Struthio camelus: one gene and its partners. The protein of the gene in region 1 interacts with the protein of each later gene in a biochemical or structural test. Links are inferred from orthologs where the notes say so. Each region holds a gene or a part of one and is shown in the gene's direction. Other genes may lie near its edges.

Region 1 (7,449 bases):
CGGCCGGGGGTCCAGGCTGCCGACGGGGCCCCCTTCAGCTGCACGTGAGTGGGGGGGCCAGGTCCCCGTGTGTCCCCTGTGTCCCCACCCATGTCCCCCCATGTCCCCAGTCCTTTATCAGCCAGGCCGTGATGTCTTCCGTGGTCCCCTCCCCGCCTTCATGTGACCGTTGCCCCTCCCCATCCAGTTTGGTGGCCACTGCACGTCCCTATGTGCGACCTCTGCGTGGTGACTCCGTCCCCAATGGCGCGGTGGCTCTGTCCCCGATGCCGCGGTGGCCTCTTGTCCCCAGGGTGCAACCCTCAGGTGTCCTCGGAGTACTGTGTCCCCTTGGGTGCTGCAGCCCCGTGTCCCGAGGCTGAGGCCGTGTTCCCCCATGTCCTCGGTGTCCCCCCGGTGTGACCGATGTCCCCCCGGTGTGACCGATGTCCCCAGGGCCACCAAGAAGGAGAAGGCGGCCGACCCCGTGGAGTGGACGGTTCGGGACGTGGTCGACTACTTCACGGAAGCCGGCTTTCCCGAGCAGGCGACGGCCTTCCAGGAGCAGGTGGGTCCCCTCCTGTCCCCTCTCCGTCCCCTCCATCCCTCTCTGTCCCCGCCTGTCCCCCTGATTGGACACTGGGGACCCTACACCCCCCAGCTCCCCCCGGTTCCCCTCCCTTGGAGGAGGGCTGAGCCCCCTCCCCATGTGGCCGCCAGCCCCACCTGGGTCCCCTCCACCCCCTGTCCCCAATGGCTTGTCCCCGTCCCCAGCTAGGTCCCCTCCATCCCTAGCTGTCCCCAGCAGGTCCTTGGGTGTCCCCCATTCCTTGAAGGATGTCCCCAACCCGGGCCAGGTTCCTGTCCCTGTTACTCATTTGTGATTATGGCTGTCCCCTGACTGTCCCCATCTGTTCCCCTTCCCTGATGGCTTTCCCCTGCCACTCCCTAGCTGTCCCCCTCCCTGTCCCCAACTGGTCCTGGGCCAGCTCCTTGTCCCCAGGTGCTCCCTAATGGCTGTCCCTAGGCAATGTTCCCTTTCCCTGTCCCTGTGAATGTCCCCTTCCCCTGTTTCCGGGCAGTGTCCCCTCCTGGCAGGCAGTCCTATACTCACAGGTGTCCCCCCTGTCCCCAGGCAGTGTCTCCCTCCTATCCCACCCTGGCAGGTGTCCCCCATCCCGGCGACTGTCCCCGTGCGGTGTCCTTCATCCTGGCACGTGCCTCCCCCCATCCCTGTGCAATGCCCCCTGTCCCTTTACAGTGTCCCCCTTGGGGTGTCCCCAATCCCTCTGGGTGCCCCCTGTCCCCACGCAGTGTCCTCTGGGAGTTCCCCGCTCCCAGAAAGCATCCCCCAAAGTGTCACCCCCCCCCCCATCCCACTGGGTGCCCCCTGTCCCCCCACAGTGTCCCCCGGGGGTGCCCCCCTCCCAAAGAGCCCCCTCAGAGCATCCCCCCACCCCGCCCTGTGCCCCCTGCTCCCCATGCAGTGTCCCCTTCCCAGAGAGCGTCCCCCAGTGTCACCCCCCATCCCACCGGGTGCCCCCTGTCCCCACGCAGTGTCCCCTGGGGGTGCCCCCCTCCCACAAAGCATCCCCCGAGTGTCCCCCCCACCCCCTGGGTGCCCCCTCCCCACGCAGCATCCCCCAGCAGCTGCCCCCCTCCCAGAGAGCATCCCTCAATGTCCTCCCCCATCCCACCGGGTGCCCCCTGTCCCCACGCAGTGTCCCCTGGGGGTGCCCCCCCCCCACAAAGCATCCCCCAGAGTGTCCCCCCCACCCCCTGGGTGCCCCCTCCCCACGCAGCATCCCCCAGCAGCTGCCCCCCTCCCAGAGAGCATCCCTCAGTGTCCCCCCCCATCCCACCGGGTGCCCCCTGTCCCCACGCAATGTCCCCTGGGGGTGCCCCCCCCCAAAGCATCCCCCTGAGTGTCCCCCCCACTCCCTGGGTGCCCCCTCCCCACGCAGCATCCCCCAGCAGCTGCCCCCCTCCCAGAGAGCATCCCTCAGTGTCCCCCCCCATCCCACCGGGTGCCCCCTGTCCCCACGCAATGTCCCCTGGGGGTGCCCCCCCCCAAAGCATCCCCCAGAGTGTCCCCCCCACCCCCTGGGTGCCCCCTCCCCATGCAGCATCCCCCGGCAGCTGCCCCCCTCCCAGAGAGCATCCCTCAGTGTCCTCCCCCATCCCACCGGGTGCCCCCTGTCCCCACGCAGTGTCCCCTGGGGGTGCCCCCCCCCACAAAGCATCCCCCAGAGTGTCCCCCCCACTCCCTGGGTGCCCCCTCCCCACGCAGCATCCCCCAGCAGCTGCCCCCCTCCCAGAGAGCATCCCTCAGTGTCCCCCCCCATCCCACCGGGTGCCCCCTGTCCCCACGCAGTGTCCCCTGGGGGTGCCCCCCCCCAAAGCATCCCCCAGAGTGTCCCCCCCACCCCCTGGGTGCCCCCTCCCCACGCAGCATCCCCCAGCAGCTGCCCCCCTCCCAGAGAGCATCCCTCAGTGTCCCCCCCCCATCCCACCGGGTGCCCCCTGTCCCCACGCAATGTCCCCTGGGGGTGCCCCCCCCCCCCAAAGCATCCCCCAGTGTCCCCCCCCATCCCACCGGGTGCCCCTTGTCCCCACGCAGTGTCCCCTGGGGGTGCCCCCCCCCACCCTGCCAGGTGCCCCTCTTCCAGAGAGCATCACCTAGAGCATCCCCATCCCCCAGCAGATACCCACTCCCCCACCCCATCCCACTGCACACCCCCTACCCCACCCCAGGGCCGGGCAGCAGCCACAGCCTGGGGGTGTTTTGGGGGGGGGGGGAAATCTGTGACGCGGGCCGGGTGCCCCCCACCCCGCAGGAGATCGACGGGAAGTCGCTGCTGCTGATGCAGCGGGCGGACGTGCTGACGGGGCTCTCCATCCGCCTGGGCCCCGCGCTCAAGATCTACGAGTACCACGTGAAGCTGCTGCAGCGCAGCCACTTCGAGGAGGACGAGGGCCCCGAGGCCTTCCTCGGCTGAGCGCCCCCGCGCGCCCCACGGACTCTCGGGGGTTGGGGGGGGGGGACGGTTTGGGCTTTGGTGGTGGTGGTGGGGGGGGGCACCTAGCCCCTTCCTCCACCTCCTCCTCTTCGCCTCCCTGCCTTCTTCCCCCTCCCGGGCTGGGCCTCCCCCACCCTCTTCTGCAGCACAGGGAGGGGGGCGAGGGGGGTTTTTATTCTTTTTTTTTGGGGGTGGGGGTGGGGGGGGCCAACGGGACGGTTTTGGGGGGTCGCTGTCCGGAGAGTTGTGTTTTAACCTACCCCAGCCTGTGCCCCCCCCCACACCGCCCCTGCTGTTCCCCCCCCCCCCTTACTGGGGTCTGCTCTCCCTCTCTCCCCCCCCCCCCAAATCTCCTCTGGGCCTGGCTTGTTTTGGGGTTTTTTAAATAAAAAAAGGAAAAAAGTGAAGGAACAGCCCCCGTGTGGGTCGGGGGGGATATTTGGGGTATTTTCTTTGTTGGGGGGGGGCGTAGCCTGGAAACCTGCATCCCTTCTGGCCTTTCCCCCCACAACCAAGGAGGGGGGGGGGTCCAGGCCTCTTGCTGACCCCCTGCAGGAGGTGCTTGGGGGGGGAGATCAGCATTTGGGAGGGGTCCTAAGGGGGGGGGTCCGCACTTTTGGGGGGGGTCTCAGCTGTGTGCGCATGCGCGGAGCCGCCTGGGGTTGCGCCGCCGTCACGCACGGGGGCGCCAGCACGCAGCGAGGGAAGGAACGACTGCGCATGCGCGCTGCCGCCCACTGGCCTTGCCGTGGGTAAGGCGGAGCAGGAAGGCTGCGAGACGCGCGCATGCGCGTCCGCGAAGTCTCCGAAAGGAGGCGTGGCGTGGCGGACGGTGGCCGGCGGCAGCCCTAAAAGCGGCGACAGCGGAGCGTGAGTGTGCGCGCGCGTGTGGCGGACGGTGGCCCGGCGGGGCCAGTCGGCGCCTGCGCACTGCGCTGTTTGTGTATTCTGGCTGCGCGGCGGCGCTGGCTCCGGTCGAAGATGGCGGCGTCCTCGCTGGAGCAGAAACTCTCCCGCCTGGAGGCCAAGCTCAAGCAGGAGAACCGCGAGGCCCGCCGCAGGATCGACCTCAACCTCGAGATCAGCCCGGCTCGGGCCCGGCCTAGTAAGGAGGGGCTGGGGGGGAGGGGAGACCCGAGGGGGAAGGGAGGCCGGAGGGGGGGGCAACTGGGGGTGGGGACAGTTGGGGCAATGCTGAGGGCTGTGGGGGTATTTGGGGCAATCATGAGGGGGTCGGGGGCAGTTGTGGCAGTACCGGGGGAAATAGGGGGTGTTTGGGGCCGTATTCGGGATATAGGGGGTGTTTGGGGCAGTTTTGAGGGATCTGAGGACAGTTGGGCCTTATTTGGGGGACAAGTAGGGTTGTATTGGGGGAAATGGGGGTATTTAGGACAGTTTTGTGGGATATGGGGGCAGTTGGAGTTGTTCTGAAAGATCTGAGGGCAGCCGGGGCTGTATTGAGGGAAATGGAGGGTATTTGGGGCAGTATTGGAAGCTCTGAGAGTAATTGGGGCTATATTGGAGATATTTGGGGCAGTTTTGTGGGATATGGGGGCAAGTCGGGCAGTAGTGAAAACTCTGAGAGCAGTTGGGGCTATGTTGCGGGAAATGAGGGGTATTTGAGGCAGTTTTTCGGGGTATGGAGGTAAACAGGGTTCTACTGGGGGAAATGGGTGGTAGTTGGGGCAGTGTTGGGGTTATTGTGGGGCAATTGGGGCAGCTCTGGGGGAGGTGGGGGGGCATTTGGGGCAATTTTGCAGGGCATGGGGGGAGTTAGGGTTGTATTGGGGGAAGTGGGAGTTGATGGGGCTTTTTTGAGGACGCTGAAGGCAGTTGGGGCAGTACTGAGAGGCCGGGGGGCAGCTGGGCCATGTCTGGGGGAAATGGGGGGCAGCTGGGGCTGTGTTGAGAGGTTGGGGGCAGTTGGGGCATTCTTTAGGGATATTGAGAGCAGCTTAGACTATATTTAGGGACATTGGGGGCAATTGAGACTGTATTTGGTGCATTGGGGGTAGTTGGGAGTGCATTTGGGGCTATGGGGGGGGAACTGAGGCTGTTTCGGAGGCTTCAGGGGCAGTTGCGGTTTGAGTTGGTGAAATGGGGGTAGTTGAGGCTCTAACAGGGATTTTAGGGGGCGGTTGAGGCAGTATTGGAGCAAAAGGGGAGGCAGTCAACAGTTTTGGGTGTAGTTGGGGCAGTTTGGGTACAGTTGAGCTGTATTGGAGCAAACGGGAGGCAGTCGGGGCGGTTTTGGGGGCAGTTGAGGCAGTGTTGGAGCAAACAGAGGGGCATTGGGCAAACGGGGGCCGTCGGGGCTGTACGGAGGCACTGAGGGGAGTTTTGGGGTGAACGCTGGGGACTCGGAGGCTTGGGGAGGACGAAGCCCTGAGAACGGTGGGGGGCGGCCGCGGCCTCGCCGGGGCGGCGCCAGCCCCGGGGCAGCCGGGGTGACCTTGACGGGGGCGGGCACCGCGGGGGCCAGGCGCGCCGCGGGACGACGAGGAGGGCAGCGGTGGCGTCTCCCCGTGCGGGACACGGCGGAGCCGGGACCGAGCCCCCCGCGGCCGCGGTGGCGTCTCCCCGCGCGGGACGCGGCGGAGCTGGGACCGAGCGCCCCATGGCAGTGGCAGTGTCTCCCCGCACGGGTCGTGGCCGAGCAGCAGTTTGGGGTTGTGGCGAGGCGACCCCCGGGCTCCTGGGCCCCACGGGCACGTGGGGTTGGTGCATGACCGGCGAAGCGTCACCCTGGCCGGTGGCTGTTCGGCCGAGAGCGCGCGGGAAGGTGTCCTGGGCAACGTCGGTTTTTCCTGCTTTTGGAAATGTCAGTTTTCTAGGTTTGGGAACCCTTGTTTTTTGGGGGCCGGCAGAACGTCACTTTTTGTAGGTTTGGGAAGTGCTGTTTTTCTAGGTTTGGGGACTGTTGCTTTTTGTAGGTTTGGGGAATGTCGATTTTTCAGGGCCTGGGGACCGTCTGTTTTTGGAGGGTTGGGGAAGGTCACTTTTTCTAGGTTTGGGAAACGTCGTTTTTTTGCAACCTTGGGGCTGTCACTTTTTCTAGGTTTGGAAAAAGTTGCTTTTTCATAGGTTTAGGGAGCGTTGCGTTTTCGGGCCTGGAATTGCTAGTTTTAGCCTGCCGGCGGCAGCTCCTCTGCCTCCCCCTCGCCATACTCCCCCTGCCCCATTTGCTCCTCTCCCCTCCCGTGACGCGATTTGAGTTTTCCTTTAGTTTTTCCTTTTTGCCATTCTTCTTATTTTGCTCCTTTTTCCTTTTCTTTTCTTTTTTTTGTTTCTCATTTTAATTTTCTGTTGCTGCCTTGGTTCATTTCTGTTGTGATTTATGGTGTGTTTTTCTCCTTTTTTTTTTTTGTTGTTGTTGTTTTGTCCCGTTTCTTCCTTCTCCTCCTCCAGTTATTGTGATCACTCTAAGCCCTGCTCCCGCTCCATCCCAACGAGCAGGTACCACGACTTTTTCCTCCGCGCCGCTTGGATTGATCCCGCATCATCTCACTTTTAACGCTTGTCCCCCCCCTTCCCCCTTTCCCTGCGACACCTCCGAGACGCGGCTGCTCCTGGGCTGGGGACAGGGGAGCGAGCGTGCGGCGGCCGGGCCGCACGGTGCTTTTCCCTTCGCGGGTGCCTCGTTTCGGAGGGCGCCGCTTTACCTTGTTCCTCCTGCTCCCGGTTTTTCCCCTTCCCTCTGCTCGTCCCCTGCCTGTCGCATGGTTGCGGCGCCGCGGGGTGCATGGGGCGGGGGGGCGGTCGGTGCGGGGCGGCCGGCGAGCGCTCCGGCCGTCACAGGGCGACTTGGCGCGGCAGCGGCCTGAGTTGGCGCGGGAGCGGCTGGTGACCGCTCCAGCCGGCACGAGGCGACTCGGCGTGGGAGCGGGGCGACTTGGTGCCTGGTTGGGGCAACTTGGCACAGGAGAAGCTGGCAAGCGCTCTGACCAGTGTGGGGCGACTCGGCGCGGGAGCGGGGCAACTCGGCACCTGCACGGGGCAAATCGGCACGGGAGCAGGGCGATTCGGCACAGCGGTGGCGTGACTTGGCGCGGGAGCAGCTGGCGAGCGCTCCGGCCGGCGCGGGGCGATTCGGCGCGGCGGTGGCGTGACTTGGCGCAGGAGCAGCTGGCGAGCGCTCCGGCCGGTGCGGGGCGATTCGGCGCGGGAGCAGGGTGATTCGGCACAGCGGTGGCGTGACTTGGCGCGGGAGCAGCTGGCGAGCGCTCCGGCCGGCGCGGGGCGATTCGGCGCGGTGGTGGCGTGACTTGGCGCAGGAGCAGCTGGCGAGCGCTCCGGCCGGTGCGGGGCGATTCGGCGCGGGAGCAGGGTGATTCGGCACAGCGGTGGCGTGACTTGGCGCGGGAGCAGCTGGCGAGCGCTCCGGCCGGCGCGGGGCGATTCGGCGCGGTGGTGGCGTGACTTGGCGCAGGAGCAGCTGGCGAGCGCTCCG
Region 2 (8,572 bases), on another chromosome or scaffold:
AGGAGCTGGGCGTCGAGGACGGCGACCTGCTCACCGGGGCCTACCTGGACCTGCTGCTGGCCGCAGGGGCGCCCGGCTCGTGAGGGAGCCCGGAGCGCCCGCGTCCCGCCGCGTGCCGTGCCTAATAAAAGCTCTGCGCGCATGCGGTGGCCTCTGGCTGCATCCCAGCGGGGCTGAGCCTCCCCTAAGCCGGAGATTACCTCCTCGGCCCCGCTTAGCCGGCGCCAGCGTCGCCGGGGCGCAGCCGCGCTGGGGGCAGAGCCGCTGGTGCAGCCGGGGGGAGGCTCCGGGCCGGTGCCGGAGCAGATGGGCCGGCCGGGATGCGGGGCGGGGGCGATGCCGGAGGCAGCTGTGCTGCCCGGCCATCTGTTTCCCCCGCCGCGGATCGGCAGGGAGATGCCGTAAGCCGCTGCCGCCGCCGCTGCTTGTTCCCCCCTCGGGGAGAGGCAGGGCTGGGCCGCAGGACGGACAGGCGGTGTCCCTGGAGAGGCCCCTTCCCTGCGGCAGAGCCGGAGCTGCCGGGACGTGCTCCGGCCCGGGGCGCGCGCCGGGGCCGTGGATAACGCGTGCAGCGGCGGCAGGATGCGGGTCTGGGGCCGGGGGGCCGGGTCGGGGGCTGCGGCAGGCCGCGGTGCTCCCCGTTCCCTGCCGGCTCCCAGCGCCCGGAAGCGGAGCCGGGCTGCGATCCCCGGGGCGCCCGGCGGAGAGGGGCCCTGCCGAAACGGCAGCCGCTGCTCCGCGCGGCGCCTGCCAAACCGCGGCCGGCGCTTCCTCGCGGCCCCGAGCCCCGTGCGAAGGGTGCCGGGAGAGGAAACAGCTCGTGGGGAGCTGGCGAGCGGCAGCCCAGCCGCCCGGCCGGCCCCTGCCGAGCTGGGCTGCGCTCCCGCGCGTTGCTAGCGGGGCGCTGCTGCACGCGCGGCGCCCGGAGCGTTTGCCGCCGCGTTTCCCAAGGGTGCGTGAGACCTTCCGGGGGGAGGGCGGTCTCCTATAACAACCCGTTTCCCAGAAGCAGGAAGCAGAGCCAGCCCCCGGCCCAAGGGGCAGGGATGCTCGCCTGCCCGGCTAGCGCTGCTGCCCTGCGGGAGGCCGGTGCGCGGGCGTCTGCGCGGGTTTGGCCTGCTGGTGCTGGGAGGGTGGTGCTGAGCGCCAGCCAGCCGCCGGCGCCCCGGCTGCGTCCCGCGGGAAGCGCAGGGCCCTTCGCGCCGCTGTCGGCTGCGTCTAGCAGCGGATCAGGAAGGACATCCCGGCTACCGCTCCCCCGGTAGCAGGCGGCTCCTGATGGACCTGCTCTGCCGGGGAGCCGGTGAGGTTTTCGCTGCTTCCCGGGGAAGCCGTTGCAGGCCCCTGCGTGGGACGGGGACCGCTCGGCCGAGCGGGGAGGGCAGGGCCCCCTGCACTGCATGGTGCTCCCATCTGGGCTGGGGTCGGAGGGGTTGGCTGGAGAGCCGGCTAGCTGTTGCCCGTGTGTTGCCTCCGTGGCGGCACAAAACTTGCCTTGGCCTTCCCGCTCGGGGCTCTTCCGTCCCTCTGGCAGGAAAGGTGGCTGGGATGTGCATGACCGGGACGGAGAGGGACGGGAGGAGCCTCAGGACCCCTGCTGGCTCAGCACCCCCCCCCCCCCCACATGGTGGCTCAGGCCCTGCAGTGCAGCCTCTCTGCAGGATACGGTGTGCACAACGGGGCGGCATTGCAGCCTCCGGTCAGGCCCAAGGGCAGCGGACCGAGCGGGGCCCCGCCGGTCCAAGCCCTCTGCCCTGGAGCTGCCAGGGCCTGCGGCAAGCAGTCGGAGAGGGGGATCCGCACAACAGGTCCCTGGGGCCCAGCACAGTGCCCTGGCCAGGCTGGCCCGGCGGTCCCACGGGAGCAGCTGCAGCAATCCTGCTGTGAGCCAGTTCCCAAGCACGGGCCGGGCAGCTGCAGAGAGGGGCGGGTGCACCCAGGCCCACCACCCCTGGGCCCCACTGCCTGTGGACCCCCAGTGCCACCTGCCCGCCAGCGCGCAGACTCCCGTGCTGCATCCTGAATCCCTTCTGCCTTCAGATCCCCCCTGCTGTATCCTGCTCACCCACTGCCTCCAGTTCCTGTATGTCTTCTTACAGCCCCCTTGACACCCACTGCCTCTGGTGCCCCCACCGCTTACTGGGCCTCCCATTGCATCCTGTTCCCCCATGCACGGACCCCCCCACACCCCACACACACTGACTCTGGGGACCTGCTGTTCCCCAGATCCCCCTACTGCCTTCTGTGCCCCATACTATATAGGACCCCCCCCACTGCCACTGGGCCCACCACCTTTGGGTCTCCCCAATGCACAGACCCCCTGTGCCTCTGTGTCCCCACTGTTTTCCAGCCCCCACTGCATTTGGCCTCCCCCACTGCCTCCTGGACTCCCACTGCCTCCTGGCCCCTCTCACTGCACCCTGCACCCACAGTGCGCCAGACACCCTCCACTTTCTGACCCCCACTATACCCTGCCCCCACTGCACAGACACCCCCCCCCAATGCCTCGGGGTCCTGCAGGGCCCCATATGGCTCCTCCACATCCCCAGACTCCCCCACCTGTCTTGATCCCTGCAAGGCAAACTGACCCCCGGGCCCAGCTGGCCCAGATGCCCCTGCCTTGTAGTGGGTCTACAGCCTTGGGCAGGTCCCAGCATCAACCCCAGCATCAGCCTTGGGCATCAGCCCCCAGCATCAGCCCTGACATCAGTCCGGCATCAGCCCCGGCATCAGCCCCCGACATCAGCCCCCAACATCAGCCTTGACATCAGTCCGGCATCAGCCCCCGACATCAGCCCTGACATCAGTCCGGCATCAGGCCCTGGCGTCAGCCCCAGCATCAGCCCCCGACAGCAGTCCCCAACATCAGCCCTGACATCAGTCTGGCATCAGCCCCTGGCACCAGCCCGCAATCAGCCCCCGAGATTAGCCTGTGATCAGCCCCCGACATTAGCCCCTGACGTCAGCCCCGAGATCAGCCCCAGGATTAGCCCCCGGCAGCAGCCCCCGAGAGCAGCCCCTGAGAACAGCCCTGCATTAGCCCCTGACAGCAGCCCCCGAGAACAGCCCGGTACCAGCCCCCGGGATCAGCCCGGTACCAGCCCCTGGGATCAGCCCTGCATCAGCCCCCGGGAGCAGCCCCCGAGAGCGGCCCGGAGCACCAGCCCCCGGGAGCAGCCCCGGGCCGGGCCGGCAGCGGCGGCGCCGGGACAGCTCCGGGCTTCAGCACCGGGGCGGGGACAGCTCCGCGCGGGGCCCTCGGCCGCCTCCCGCCCCGGCCCGGCCCGGCCCGGGGCTGCGCAGCGCGGCGCCTCCCTGCACAGCCTGCATGGCCCTATACAGCCTGCATGGCCCTGTACAACCTGCATGGCCCTATACAGCCTGCATGGCCCTGTACAGTCCTGCATGGCCCTATACAGTCCTGCATGGCCCCATACGGCCTGCATGGTCCTGTACAGTCCTGCATGGTCCTATACAGCCTGCATGGTCCTGTACAGTCCTGTATGGTCCTATACAGCCTGCATGGCCCTATATAGTCCTGCATGGCCCCATACAGTCCTGCATGGTCCTATACAGCCTGCATGGCCCCATACAGACCTGTATGGTCCTATACAGCCTGCATGGCTCTATACAGTTCTGCATGGCCCCATACAGACTGCATGGTCCTATACAGCCTACATGGCCCCATACAGTCCTGCATGGTCCCATACAGCCTGTATGGTCCTAATCAGCCCTGCATGGCTTTATATAGCCTCCTGCATGGTCCTGTGCAGCCCTGCATCTCCCTATGCAGTCCTGCGCCTCCCTATACGGCCCTACACCTCCATATGCAGCACTGTGCCTCCCTATGCAGCACTGCACTTTGCTATACAGCCCTATGTAGCCCCCTGCATGGCCCTGTGGTGCCCTGCACCTCCCTATATGACCCTGCACCTCCCTGTACAGCCCCCTGCACAGCTCCATGCAGCCCTGCACAGTCCTGTACAGCTTTGCACCGCCCTATATAGCCCTCCTGGCATGGTCCCTACACAGCCTTACACTGCCCTATACAACCCTTCACCTACTTACACAGTCCTGCACAATCCTGCACCTCACTATACATCTCTGCACCTCCCCTGTGCAGGCCCCTACGTAGCCCTGTGCCCCCCCTACGCAGCCCCTGCACAGCCCTCTGCATTTCCCCGCAGAGCAGCCCTGTGCAGCCTCCTGTCCCTCCTTATACAGCCCCTGTGGCCCTGAACACACCCCTGCTCTCCATACTGCCTCCTGCTCTCCTCCCTATACAGCCCCCTCCCCTCTCCCTCTACATCCCCCCACTCCTCCCTGTCCCTCTCCCTATACAACCCCCTCTCCCCTCCATAGACAGCCCTCCGTTCCTCCCTGCTCTCCTCCCTATATGGCTCTCTCCCTTCCCTATACAGCCCTCTTTCCCCTCCCTATACATCCCCCCTTCTCTCCATAGACAGCCCCCTCTCCTTTCCCTATACCACTCGCTCTCCCCTCCTTATACTTACCTTTCTCCCCACCCTATACAGTCCCCCCCTCCATAGACAGCCTCCCAGTCCTCCCTGCTCTTCCTCCCTTTACAACCCCTCTTTTCCCTATACATCCCCCACTTCCCTCCCTATACACTTCTGCCTGTTCTCCTCCCTATACATCCCCCTCTTCCTTCCCTATATAGCCCCCCTCCATAGACAGCCCCTCTCCCCTCCCCATACAGCCCCTTCTCCCCTCTCCATACATCCCCCTCTCCCCTCCCCCTACATCCTCCTTCCCCTCCCCATACATCCCCCTCCCCTCCCCATACATCCTTCCCATACATCCCGTTCCCTCCCTATACATCCCCCGTTCCCTCCCCATACATCCCCCCTCCTCTCCTCATACATCCTCCCCATACATCCCCTGTTCCCTCCCCATACATCCCCCCTCCCCTCTCCACACATCCTCCCCATACATCCCCCCTCTCCCCTTCCCCATACATCCCCCTCCCCCATACATCCTTCCCATACATCCCCCCGTTCCCTCCCCATACATCCCCCTCCCCTCCCCATACATCCTTCCCATACACCCCCTGTTCCCTCCCTATACAACCCCCCCGTTCCCTCCCCATACATCCCCCTCTCCCCTCCCCATATATCCCCCCTCCTCTCCTCATACATCCTCCCCATACATCCCCCCTCCCCTCTCCACACATCCTCCCCCTCCATCCCCCCTCTCCCCTTCCCCGTACGTCCCCCCTCCCCTCCCCATACAGCCCCCTATCCCCACCCCCCCGCCCCACAGCCGCCCTCCCCCCGCAGCCCCCTCTCCCCCCGAGGCGGCCCCCGCCCCTCCCGCACCGCCCCAGCTCCTCCCTCGCTATAAGGCTCCCAGCGCGCCGCCCGCCCCGGCCCCGGCCCCCCGCGCACCCCGCTCCGCTCCGCGCCGCCGCCCCCGCCGCTCCCGCCGCCGCCGCCGCCCCGGTGCCCGCGCGGCCCCGCCCGCAGCGCGGCCCCGCGCAGCCCCGCGCAGCTCCGCAGTCCGGCGCAGCCCCGGCCGGGAGAAGATGGCGGATCGCGCCGAGATGTTCTCGCTCTCCACCTTCCACTCGCTCTCCCCGCCGGGCTGCAGGTGAGCCCCGGGCCCGCTTCGGTTCGGTTCGGCCCGGCCCGGTCCGGCCCCGCGCCGCGGCCGTGCGTGCGTGGGGCGGCGGGGCTGGGGCGGGGCGGCCCGGGGCCCGGCCCGGCCCGGCTCGGCCCGGTGCGGCTCGGCTCGGCCCGGTGCGGTGCGGTGCGGTGCGGTGCCGCCCGGGGCGCTGGGGCCGCGCTGCGGGCGCGGCGCTGCGCTGCGGGCTCTGCCCGGCCCGGCCCGGCTCGGCTCGGCCCGACGCGCCGCCCTTGGCGCTGGCTGCGGGCCGGGACCGGACCGGGACCGGGACCGGGGCCGCGCGGCCGGGCCGGGGGGGCCGCAGCGGGGCCGCCCGGCGCCGCCGTCCCGCAGCGGGGCCCCGCGTCCTGCGGGAAGTTTGGCTGCCGCTCTCCGTCTCCCCGTTCACCTTGGGGCCGCGGAGCCGCCGCCGCCGCCCCGCTCCGCTCCGGCCCAGCGATGCTGCTGCCGCGGGCCGGGCCGGGCCGGGCCGGTCCATCGGGGGCGCGGGGGCCCCGTCCGGGCCGTGCGCGCCGAGCGGCCCTTCCCCCGCGCGGGCGCAGCTCCCGTGGCGGCGATTAGCGCTGCAGCAGCCTCCGCCGCATCGCCCGGGCCGGGCCGAACCGGGCCGAGCCGCTCCCCGTCCGCCGGGAGCCCCGCGCCGCGGAGGGCAGAGCCGCCCGGGGTCCGACCCCTGCCCCGCCGCGTCCCCGGGGGCTGCGGGGAAGCGGCACCGGCTGGCGTCTCTTTGTCTCTCCTGACACGCGCTGCGCCTCCGTCCCTCCCGCAACGCTCCTGGGGGCTCTGCCTGTTGTTCACGCCGCAAACCAGGCCCTCCCGGGCCCGGCGGCTCTGTGCTCTCGGGGGGGCCTGGCGGTTCAGCGCGCGCTGGCGCGAGGGAAGGGGTTGCCAGCCAGGTTTGGCCTGCGATGGGAAGCCCTGTTGTTGGCGCGTGGGGAAGGAGCTTTGGCTTGGTTCGCTCTCGGCAGACGCCCCAGAGACCTGCCCGAGCTGCTCCGTCCGAGCAGGCTCGGCGCTTCCGAGGTCTAACGTGGGGAAACATGGTGCTTGCTAAAAGCAGTGGCTCCCAGGCCCCTCTCCGCCGCGGGAGGAGTGCCCGGGCCCGGGTGCAGCCTGACGCAGGTCACCTTTCCAGCAGGTCCTGCAGGAGCTGGAGGCGGCAGGGCCAAGCTGCCAGCCGGACTGGCACAGAGCGGGGAGGGTGGACGCGGCAAGGCTCTCACCCCCTAGCCCTGCTGGTGGGCTTGGCAGGGCTGGGGTGCAGCCCAGGCTGGGGGCCATGGGGTGTGTGGGGCTGGATGGGAGCCGTGCCAGCAGGGTGGGGAGGCCGGGCGGTGGCCAAGCCAGGCTGGCCCAGCATGGGGCAGCGGGGTCTCGGCAGCTGGATGGAGGGTGGGAGGTGATGGTGGTGGTGGTGGGTACCTAGGGAGGCCCTGAGGACCAGAGGAGCTGAGGTTTAGTTGGGATGCTGGACATCTTCGTTGGCTGGCTCTGACCCACATTGAGCAGGTCTCGTGGCTGCTTCCCAGGTCATCCCTGTCCCTGGGTCGTGGTGGGACCTTGCGCTGGTGTCATGGGGAGCGCGGTGGGGAGGACACAGCCTCTGCCTTTGCCATGGCTGTTCTGCTCCTTCCTGCCTCCCGCTTGGCATCTGGGCCCAGAGCAATTCCCCAGGGGCTGCGTTTTCCGGGTGGTCGCATCCTCCTCGCAGGGATCCCCTGCACAACTCTCCCCCTTCATCCCCCTGGAGGCCCTGCCCTGCTGTGTGGCACGAGGGGGATCAGAGCTGGCCCGTAGCAGGTTACCACTGAGGTTGCGGTGTCAGGTCTGGCCCGGGGATGCATCCCTGCACACTCCCAAGCTGGGCCGTACGAGGCAGCGGGGCTGGAGCCCTCGGGGGCGTGGGGGAGCTCTGGGTCGAGGAGGGGGCTGGCTCCTGCCCCCTGGGGAGTTCAAGCCCATGGAGGGCATTGCAACCCGCGACCGTGCTCTTGGCCATAGCCACATCTCATGCATCTCCTTCTGCAAACGCTTCTGCTCCTGTGGCAGTGAGTTCCACTGGCTGGAGACCCCCCGGCAGGGAAATCCTCTCCTCCTGTCCCGTAGTGATACGCTGCTTTTCCACGTCTCCTTCTGTCCTTGTGCTCTGCGAGGGACAAACAGCAGCAGCCTGGCTCCTGTTCTAGTCACATCTGTTATTCTCCTAGCCACAGACGATCGATCTTCCCTCTGGCTCGTGCAGGAGCGTTTGGCGTTTAAGGCCCCTGACACCGGCTTTGAGCAGAGCCGAGGGGCAGTGGAGGAGCCTGGTGGCAGGGCAGAGGGCAAAGGAGCAGTGACCGTTTTGCGTTGGCTACTGGACCCGCTCTGCTCCTAGCCAGGAGGAGGGCGCGGGGTGCAGGAGCTGCACCCCTGTGCCAGGAAAACTGGGTCAAATCCCTGGGGACTCCCTGGCTGCCAGTGGTCTCTGCTCCTCATGTGCCCAGGGAGCTTGCACCAAAGGCTGCAGGTCTGCACGGAGCAGGGGGTCTGCAGGCTCCTCTCCGGCGAGCAGCGCTGCGGGGGGTGCCCCCTGCTCCTGCCAGCAGAAGGGGCCTGGAGCCCCGCGTGGCAGCAGCACGGTGCTGTGCGCGCTGCGTCTTTGCTGGACCGTTCATGCCCGTCTGCAGGAATGGGCCTGAGTTGGTGCTGGCCCCCAAGACACAGCCAGGGCACAGGAAGGCCCCGTGCGCCCAGCGCCTTGCCGTGCTGCCTGCAAGGTGCAGCGCGCACCGCTGCATTCAGCCGGGCTGCGGCAGGCCAAACTGCACCCCCTGCACACTGCTTGGGGTCTCCTCGCTCGCCAGAGAGACCCCCCCCCTCCCCAGAAGTGCACAAGTCCCCCCCATTGCCTGGAGGAACCTCAGTCGGTGGAAGGATAAAGCCC
Region 3 (7,673 bases), on another chromosome or scaffold:
GCACCCTTCAACCTGTGCCCAGCCAGGCAGCGTCCCCCCAGCAGCGTGGCTGTCCCCCTCCTCTTGCAGCGAGCTCGGTCACCTCGGGCTCCAGCAACACACAGCAGAGGCCAGGCTGCGACTTCTCTGAGCAAACGCAGCCCCAGCAAGGCCAACCTGGACACCGAGCCCTGTTTGGGCCCGGGACAAGAGAGAGCGCCTGGCCCCTGCGTGGGGCCATACCCCTTCCCCAGGGATGCAGACAGCTCCAGCACGCAGCATCCCACAAACCAGCTTTATTCCAAAATCCCCGTGCAAGGGGAGCGCAGCTGGGGTAGCCCACGGGGCCGCGGCACCTCCGGCACCGATGCACAGTGAGCCCGTGGCAGGGGGACAGCGGCTCCCTTTTCTCCCGGAGACCCGCTGCTGGGCGCTCTGACCGCAAGACGAGACCAGGACTGCTCTCTGCCCAAAACCTGCCCCTCCAGCGGGGCGCAGGGAGACAGATCCAGCTGGAAAAGGGGGAACGGACAGGGGTGAGCAGCAGAAAAGGGGAGCTGGGGCATCCCGAGCACCCGCTTCCCCCATGCCAGCAGCCCCAGCCCAGCAGCGGGACGCGCTGCGAGAGTGGCTGGCGCAGGGACGGGGACTCCCAGCCCCGGCGCGTCCCCACGCGCCCACCTGCCCTCCTAGCTGTGCAGCGACGATTTCTTCTGCCTGCACCCTCGTCTCGGCAGGAGCGCGGCCGCCTCTGCCCGGCCCTCGCGGAGACCCTGGGGGCGCAGAGCAGGGCGGGGGTCACGGGGGAGGATCACACCTTCACCCCGGCTGTCCCATCTGCCCCCCGGCCCTGCCATACCATGTAGAAGCCGGTGTGGTACCCGCTCATGTACCAGGACATCAGCATCGCAGCCAAGGCTTCCTCCTCCTCCTCCTCCTGGTACGTGCACAGTGGGGCTGGGGGCCACGGCGGAGGCACCAGCTACAACCAACAGCCTCCGTTAGGGACAGTCCCACCCCGAAGGACCCTGCCGTAGGGTGCCAGCTCGCCCGCACTATGCCCAGCAGGAGACGGGGACCCCAGGCAGGGAAATAAGGAGTTTCCAGAGCCAGCTGCCAGCGTTGCTGGCACCCGTCTATCCCTCCCTCCCCAAATCCACAGCTGGAGCTGCATGACAGGGTGATCCCGGGCTCACTGGTCCCCATCCCCACGGACGGGCAGGACCCCTGGTTGCCGCTGCGCTCTCTGGCCGCAGGCTGGCAGGGCAGGGAGAGCCTGGGCCACCGGCGCCGCTCCAGAGGAGGCACCCGCAGCCCTGGGTGCCCCCCCACGGCGCAAGGCAGCTCCCAGCCCCGTGGCAAGCCAGGGGCGGGGGGTGCAGAGGGCCCGAGCCCGGTGCGACACCAGACACTCACCTCGGGGGGCCAGGGGGAGCAGGGCGCCTGCTTGCCCTTGCTGCTCTTCCTCCTCCTGCCCGGGGGCAGCTCCCATGACGGGGGGGGTCTTGGCCTCCGGGACTCCCCGTAGGGACCCTCCTCCGCCTTGCGGGGACACACGAGCATCAGAGCAGCCCCCCCACAGACCCCCTGCCCACCCCAAAGGTGCCGCAGCGCCCCGCGGCATCACTCACCCACTGGGCCCCCAGGTGGCCCGCCACGGGGATGCAGGGGGGCAGGAGATCTGCCAGCGCCACCTCCTCCTTGTTCCCGTAGCCAACAAACTCCACCAGGCAGGTGCCAGCGGCGGTGTCCAGCGCCCGCACCGTGGCGGGGTACAGCAGCCCGTCGCCCGACCAGATGGTGCAGCAGGCGGCTCCCACCACCCACTGCGGGGAGAGGTGGGGGGGGGGTCACGCCGGCCCCAGGGAGAGGGGTCCCCAGCGTGACACTCCCCCCTCCGGCAGATCGCGAGGTGCGAGGCAGCCTCTCCCTGAGCCAGCAGTGGGGACGGGCTGTCACCTCGCCCGCTCACCTGGGAGCCTTCCTCATCCTCCTCCTCCTCGCTGGGGGGCACGCTCAACGGTGGGGACTCAGGGACCTGGTCCGACTCTTCATCCGGAGCATCCTGGGGGAGGAAGGTGCCGGGCTGAGATGGGGCTGGGGCGGGGGGGCAGAGCAGGGCCCTGGTCCTGTCCCGGTTCAACTAGCCCCAACGAGTCCGGACTCTCCTGCCCCGGCCCGGTCCCGGTTCCAGTTCACCCAGGCCCAGCACCCCCAGTCCCGGCTAGTCCAGACCCTCCAGCCCCAGCCCGGTCCCGGTTCCAGTTCACCCAGCCCCGGTACCCCCGGTCACACCTAGTCCGGACCCTCCTGCCCCGGCCCGGTCCGCCCAGTCCCGGTACCCCCGGTCACACCCAGTCCGGTCCCGGTTCCGGTTCGCCCAGCCCCAGTACCCCCGGTCCCAGCTAGTCCGGACCCTCCCGCCCCGGCCCGGTCCGGGTCCGCCCAGCCTCGGCCCGGCTCCCTCCGGCCCCGCCACGCAGCCGCCCACCCGCGACCCCGGGGCGCTCTCGGCCATGGCCCGGCGCGGGCGGCACCGAACCCGCGGCCGCACGTGGGCCCGCCCCGCCCCGCAGCGCCACGCCACGCCCCCCGCGCCGCACCGCGCGGCGCCCCCTGGGTAATGCAGTCTCCGCCCCGGCGGCGCACGCGGGGGCGGGGCACCCCACGACTACACTTCCCAGAAGGCAACGCCCGCGCTACCAGCGAGTCGGGCAGGCGGGCAGAGCGTCGCTGAGGCTTTCCTCCCCCCGCCGCGCCCTCCGGTGGGAGGCGGTGCGCTACGCCCCGGGAGGAGCGCGGCGGGCCGCAGCCATCGGTGTACCGAGCTGTGTCGGTGCTCAGCGGCGGCGAGCCCCGGCCCTGCTCTCTCAGCCGCAGCCGGTGCCGAGCTGCCACCGCAACGGCCGCGCACATGGAGCTACAAAATATCGTGGCAACTTTGTGCATCCACTAGGGAACCGGGGGGGAACATGACCTGCCTGTACATGAGCCCGGGACTCTGGGGAGAGGCAGCCCCCCGCAGAATACCTGCTCCGGAGCGGGCGGCAGGGACCCGGCCAGGGTGCACGGCTGGATGGAGCCCGACCCGAGGCTGCCCGCAGCCACCCTCACGGGGCAATCCAGGCCCAGCCACCAACACTGCGTGAGGAACGGGGCCCCGAAATCCCCGATCTGAGGGCGCCTTCGCGCAGCTGCAGCTGGAAACCCCTAACACCCCTAACAGGGAGATGCGGGTGGCAGGACCCTGCAGGGACTGGGACAGGGACCGGGGACAGGGACCCCACGGCAGGTCCCTGCAGGGACGGGGCACGCAGGCTCAGGGCTGGCTGGAGGGACCGAGCGACGCCAAGCCCAGGACTCGACCCCGGCCCGCAGCCCAGCTGCTGGCACCCCAGCACCCATGCCAAGAGGGGACTCCATCACCGGCTTCCCTCGGGGCCACGGGTGACAATTCTGGGGGCACAGGGGGCCCCAGCAAGCGGCAGCCGTGGTGCTTGGGGACCTGCACGGGGAGCAGGGCCTGGCACAGCCCGCCGCTCGCCTGTCCTTCAGGTGGCCATCGGAGCCAGCCCGGCCGCGGGGAACGAGATCAGGGACCCCAAGCAGGGAAAGAACCCGGAGGGCGAAACCGGAGCGCCCCGGGAGCGTGCCCGAGCTCCTGCCCACGGGAGCGGAGCCCGACGTGCGAGCGAGCGTGCAAGGAGGCTCGGGAGCAGCACGGGCCCGCGAGGCGGCACGCGTGCACAAGGCGGTCCCCAGCGAGCTGGCACAGGCGCCAACACGCGTGCACTCGCGGAAGGGACGTGACACCGGCAGGGGTGGGCGGCGCGGGGGTGCAAGCCGGCATGCAGCGGAGGGGAAGGGCTGGCGGGCAAAACCGGGCGTGCAAAACCGGGGGCGTGCACAGGCCGCGTGTGCGAGGGGACGGGAGCGTGCAGGGGCTCGTGGGTGCGAGGCCCACGCGTGCACGGGGGCGGCGCCGCCGGGGCAGGAACGGGGCCTGCGGCGGCCGCGCGTCCCCGGCAGGTGGCAGCCGCCAGCCACCGCCGGTCGCGGCGCCGGTGCATGGAGCGGCCCCCCCCCCCCCCCCCCCCCGGGGGCACCCCAGTGCACGGACCGACCCCTGCTGCAGGCCCCGGTGCCCGGACCGATGCCTCCCACGACGACGCGAATGCACGGTCTGACACACATTACCCCCCCCCCCGGCCCCTTGCAATCTCAATACACGGACCAGCCCCCCCCCCCCCCCGCAAACCCCAAGGCAGGGATTGCTCCTGCACGGCAGATCCCAGCGCAAGAACAACCCCCCCGGCCCCCATTGCAAACCCCAATGCACCGACTGATTCCCCGTGCCGTGGACCAACACCTCCCCCCCCCCCCCCGTTGCAAACCCCAATGCACTGACCGACCCCCCGTTGCAGACCCCGGTGCAGGGACCGACACCTCCCACGAAGATGCCAATGCGTGGCCCCCCCACGCCCCGCTGCAAACCCCAATGCACGGACCGTTCCCCCACTGCGCAGAACGACCCCCCCCCGTCCCCCAACTGCAACCCCCAATGCGCGGACCGACCCCCCCTCCCCGTTGTTTCGGTCCCTGCGCAGCCCCGGGGGGGGGGGGGGGAGGACAGTTTCTGGGCGGGGGTTTCCGCGTGCACCCAGCTCGGGGCGCTCCAAAAATAGTCGCTCCCGGGCTCTGGCGTCGGCCCGGCCCCGCTCCGCTCCCCCCGCGCCGTGAAACCCCCCCGCCCCGGAGCACCCCTCCCCACGTGGGGCCCGAAGGCGGCAGCCAATCCGCGCGCCGGCCGCTCTTTCCTTTGTGGCGGGCCAGCCAATGGGCAAGGAGGGGGCGCCGCGCGTGGCCCCGCCCAGCGGCGGGAGGCTATAAAAGGCGGCGCCGGCCGGAGCGGCGCTCAGAAAAGCGTACAGCGGCGAGCAGGGCGGAGCGGAGCGGGCTGCAGCGGGACCCCCACCGCGCTACTGGATTATTGCACTTGGGCTTCATTTTTATTTTTGAATACCTATTTCCTTTGCCGCGGATCCTTCTCCGGGCTCGGCTTCTGGGCGCCCGCCCTGTGGATTACAATTGCACCATGACCCTGGAGGAGCTGGTGCCCTGCGACAGCAGCAAGTAAGTGCCAGGCCCGGGGGCACCGTTTTTGGGGGGTGGGGGGGAACCGGCCCGGCGCTGCTGCCGCTCACTGGCCTCTCTTGTCCCCGCAGGATGCAGGCGGTGAGCGAGGCGGTGGAGCGGGTGTTGGTGGCGGCGCAGCGGCAGGACCGACTCACCGTGGGCGTCTACGAGTCTGCCAAGCTCATGAACGTGTGAGTGTCCGGGGGGGAATGCACGGGGGCTGCCGGAGCGGGTGCACGGCAGATCAGTGCAGGGGGTGCAGCGGGGTCTGTCCCGGGGGGGGGTGGCTATCTAAGAGCAGGGCTAGTGCAGGGGGTCTGGAGCAGGGAGGCTGCATGGGGGCAGCCCCAGTGTTGGGGGTCTGTCTTGGGGGGCAGGGGGGGAGTCTGCCCAAACCCAAAGACCATGCAAGAGTCACTCTGAAGCCTCTTGCCCATGGGCTGGGGTCAGTAGCCCGGGTGACATGGGGTGACATCACACCCCCCACCGTGTCATGGGACATGCACAGTACCTGCATCTGTGCTGTCCCGGCCCCCCTAACACTACGGCCATCTGCAGGGACCCCGACAGTGTGGTGCTGTGCTTGCTGGCCACCGATGAGGAGGACGAAGGCGACATCGCCTTGCAGATCCACTTCACCCTCATCCAGGCTTTCTGCTGCGACAACGACATCCACATCCTGCGCGTCTCCGGCATGCAGCGCCTGGCCGCCATCCTGGGCGAGCCCGAGCCCGGCACTGAGCCCCGCGACCTGCACTGCCTCTTAGTCACGGTGAGTGGGACTGTGATGCACAGCGCAGCCACGCGCCGCGGTCCCGCGCTGCAGGTGGGGACTGACCTTGCGCTTTGCCTCCCCAGAACCCGCACACGGACGCCTGGAAGAGCCAGGGGCTGGCCGAGGTGGCCAGCTACTGCGCCGAGAGCCGGGACAGGAACCAGTGGGTGCCCTATGTGGCCCTGCAGGAGCGCTGAGCCCTGCGGCAACTGCCAGCTTTTTAACCTGGAGAAAACAAAAAAATTAAAAATAAACCACAGAAGAGGGAAGGAGAAGCAACCAGATTAAAAAAAACAACCACCACCCACCGATTTTATTTTTCTTTTTAACTGGAGAGGAGGAGGGAGCAGCCCAGCCGATGGGCACAGGAAGGAGGTGAGCCGAGGACGCACCGGCAGAGCCCTCCGGAGACGGGGCCGGTGGCTGGGAGCCCGGCAGGACGAGGCTGGGCAGGAGACGCGATGTGCTGAGGAGTCATGCTGCGTGCCAGCACGCGCTTCCCCCCACGGAGGATGGGCCCTGCTGCGCGCCGCTGCCGGCCGCGGCGCGGAGGAGCCCGGGACTGGCGCGGCAGAGCGCGGGGAGGACAGATGGAGATGGTTTTGTTTTCTTTTTGGCATCTGGGACTCAATGGAAGCGTGGACTGCAAAGGGACAGATTTGCAAATGAACTTATTTTCTAAGGGATAAATAAATCTTATATATTCATAGACTTGCAACAACAGATTCATTCTGTGCACTCAAGCCCGTTGGAGACCCTGATCTAAATCTATTATAGAGTCTATTCTTGTACTGATTTGAAAAAAAAAACATTTGCAATAAAATTTCTAAACTCAGCAGTGCCTGCATTCATCTTCTGCCTTCCCTGCACCTGGGGCACCCCACGCCTGGGAGCAGGAACAGGTTTTGTGCCAGTTCTTGTGGCCGGTCCTGCACCCCGGTGGCCATTTCTCAGGGGGTACTGGGCCAGGCCTCGGGCAGCCCTGCACTGCAGGAGCATGGCCGGCTGCTCCCCGCATGCAGCCCTCGGGGCTGGTTGTGGGGAGGAAGAGGCCGGGTGCCAGGCAGCTCCGGGACCCCCTGGCAGTGCCAAACCAGCCTTGGCGCAGGCATCTGGCCTGGCCCCGCTGCCTCCTGCAAAGGCCCTGGCAGCAGCTGTCCCTTGGGCTCTGCAGCGGGATTTGCAGCCAGAAACGCAGCGTGTCGTAGGCAGGCGCTTGGGGTTGCACAGCACATCCCCGTGCCTGCTGGCACAGCCCTGCCTCAGCACCGCACGGGAAGATGGGCAGAGCCGGGGCTCCCCAGACCCCAAAACATCTGCAACCCCAAGGGCCAGGCACAGCCCCCCAGCCCTGCATGCAACAACCCCCCTCCTTGAACAGGAGGGTTTTTTTCCCCCCCAAATCACTCCCTGGCTGTACCCTCACACTACAGCAATAGCACAAACACCTCTTTGGTGCAAGGGTCCCTGGCAGCAAGGGAAATCGAGGCACAGGCTGCAGCCCGCAGAGCCGCAGGCACCCCATCTGCCTGGGGGCTCCCAGCCCCGCGGCTCTGCAGGCTCTGGGGGCCCAGGGAGGCAGCGCTGCCGGCACCCGCTGAGCCCTGACACCCCAGCAGCACCCCCAGCTCGCCCCTCCTGCCTCCCTGCCAGCTGCCAAGGGACTGTCCCTGAGCTGGCACTGCCAGGAGGGCTGGAGCCAGAGCCCCATCCAGCTTGCATGGCCCCCACCGGCCAGCCCTGGGCTGCATCCGGTGCTGCACTGTTGCAGGGGCTCAGCCCC

Evidence for each region.
Region 2: the proteins of MAP2K7 (region 1) and MAPK8IP2 form a complex in vitro, tested with the Homo sapiens proteins (2 studies listed by BioGRID). The link is inferred for Struthio camelus from reciprocal best matches to the Homo sapiens genes MAP2K7 and MAPK8IP2.
Region 3: the proteins of MAP2K7 (region 1) and GADD45B form a complex in vitro, tested with the Homo sapiens proteins (2 studies listed by BioGRID and IntAct). The link is inferred for Struthio camelus from reciprocal best matches to the Homo sapiens genes MAP2K7 and GADD45B.

Annotation. Positions count from the first base shown.
Region 1 is NC_090972.1:4,043,123-4,050,571, reverse strand, and holds the start of MAP2K7 (dual specificity mitogen-activated protein kinase kinase 7), read left to right. Parts: upstream 1-3,932; 5' UTR 3,933-3,980; coding exon 3,981-4,104; intron 4,105-6,407; coding exon of another isoform or gene 6,408-6,455; intron 6,456-7,449. Other genes in the region: sterile alpha motif domain-containing protein 1-like, read left to right, coding at 1-44, 436-547, 2,817-2,978. UniProt on the Homo sapiens protein: Dual specificity protein kinase which acts as an essential component of the MAP kinase signal transduction pathway. Essential component of the stress-activated protein kinase/c-Jun N-terminal kinase (SAP/JNK) signaling pathway.
Region 2 is NC_090942.1:659,524-668,095, reverse strand, and holds the start of MAPK8IP2 (C-Jun-amino-terminal kinase-interacting protein 2), read left to right. Parts: upstream 1-5,472; 5' UTR 5,473-5,545; coding exon 5,546-5,610; intron 5,611-8,572. UniProt on the Homo sapiens protein: The JNK-interacting protein (JIP) group of scaffold proteins selectively mediates JNK signaling by aggregating specific components of the MAPK cascade to form a functional JNK signaling module.
Region 3 is NC_090967.1:6,695,070-6,702,742, forward strand, and holds GADD45B (growth arrest and DNA damage-inducible protein GADD45 beta), read left to right. Parts: upstream 1-4,898; 5' UTR 4,899-5,074; coding exon 5,075-5,112; intron 5,113-5,204; coding exon 5,205-5,306; intron 5,307-5,673; coding exon 5,674-5,887; intron 5,888-5,973; coding exon 5,974-6,087; 3' UTR 6,088-6,725; downstream 6,726-7,673. Other genes in the region: survival motor neuron protein 1-like, read right to left, coding at 669-752, 839-961, 1,396-1,521, 1,611-1,805, 1,952-2,044, 2,471-2,497.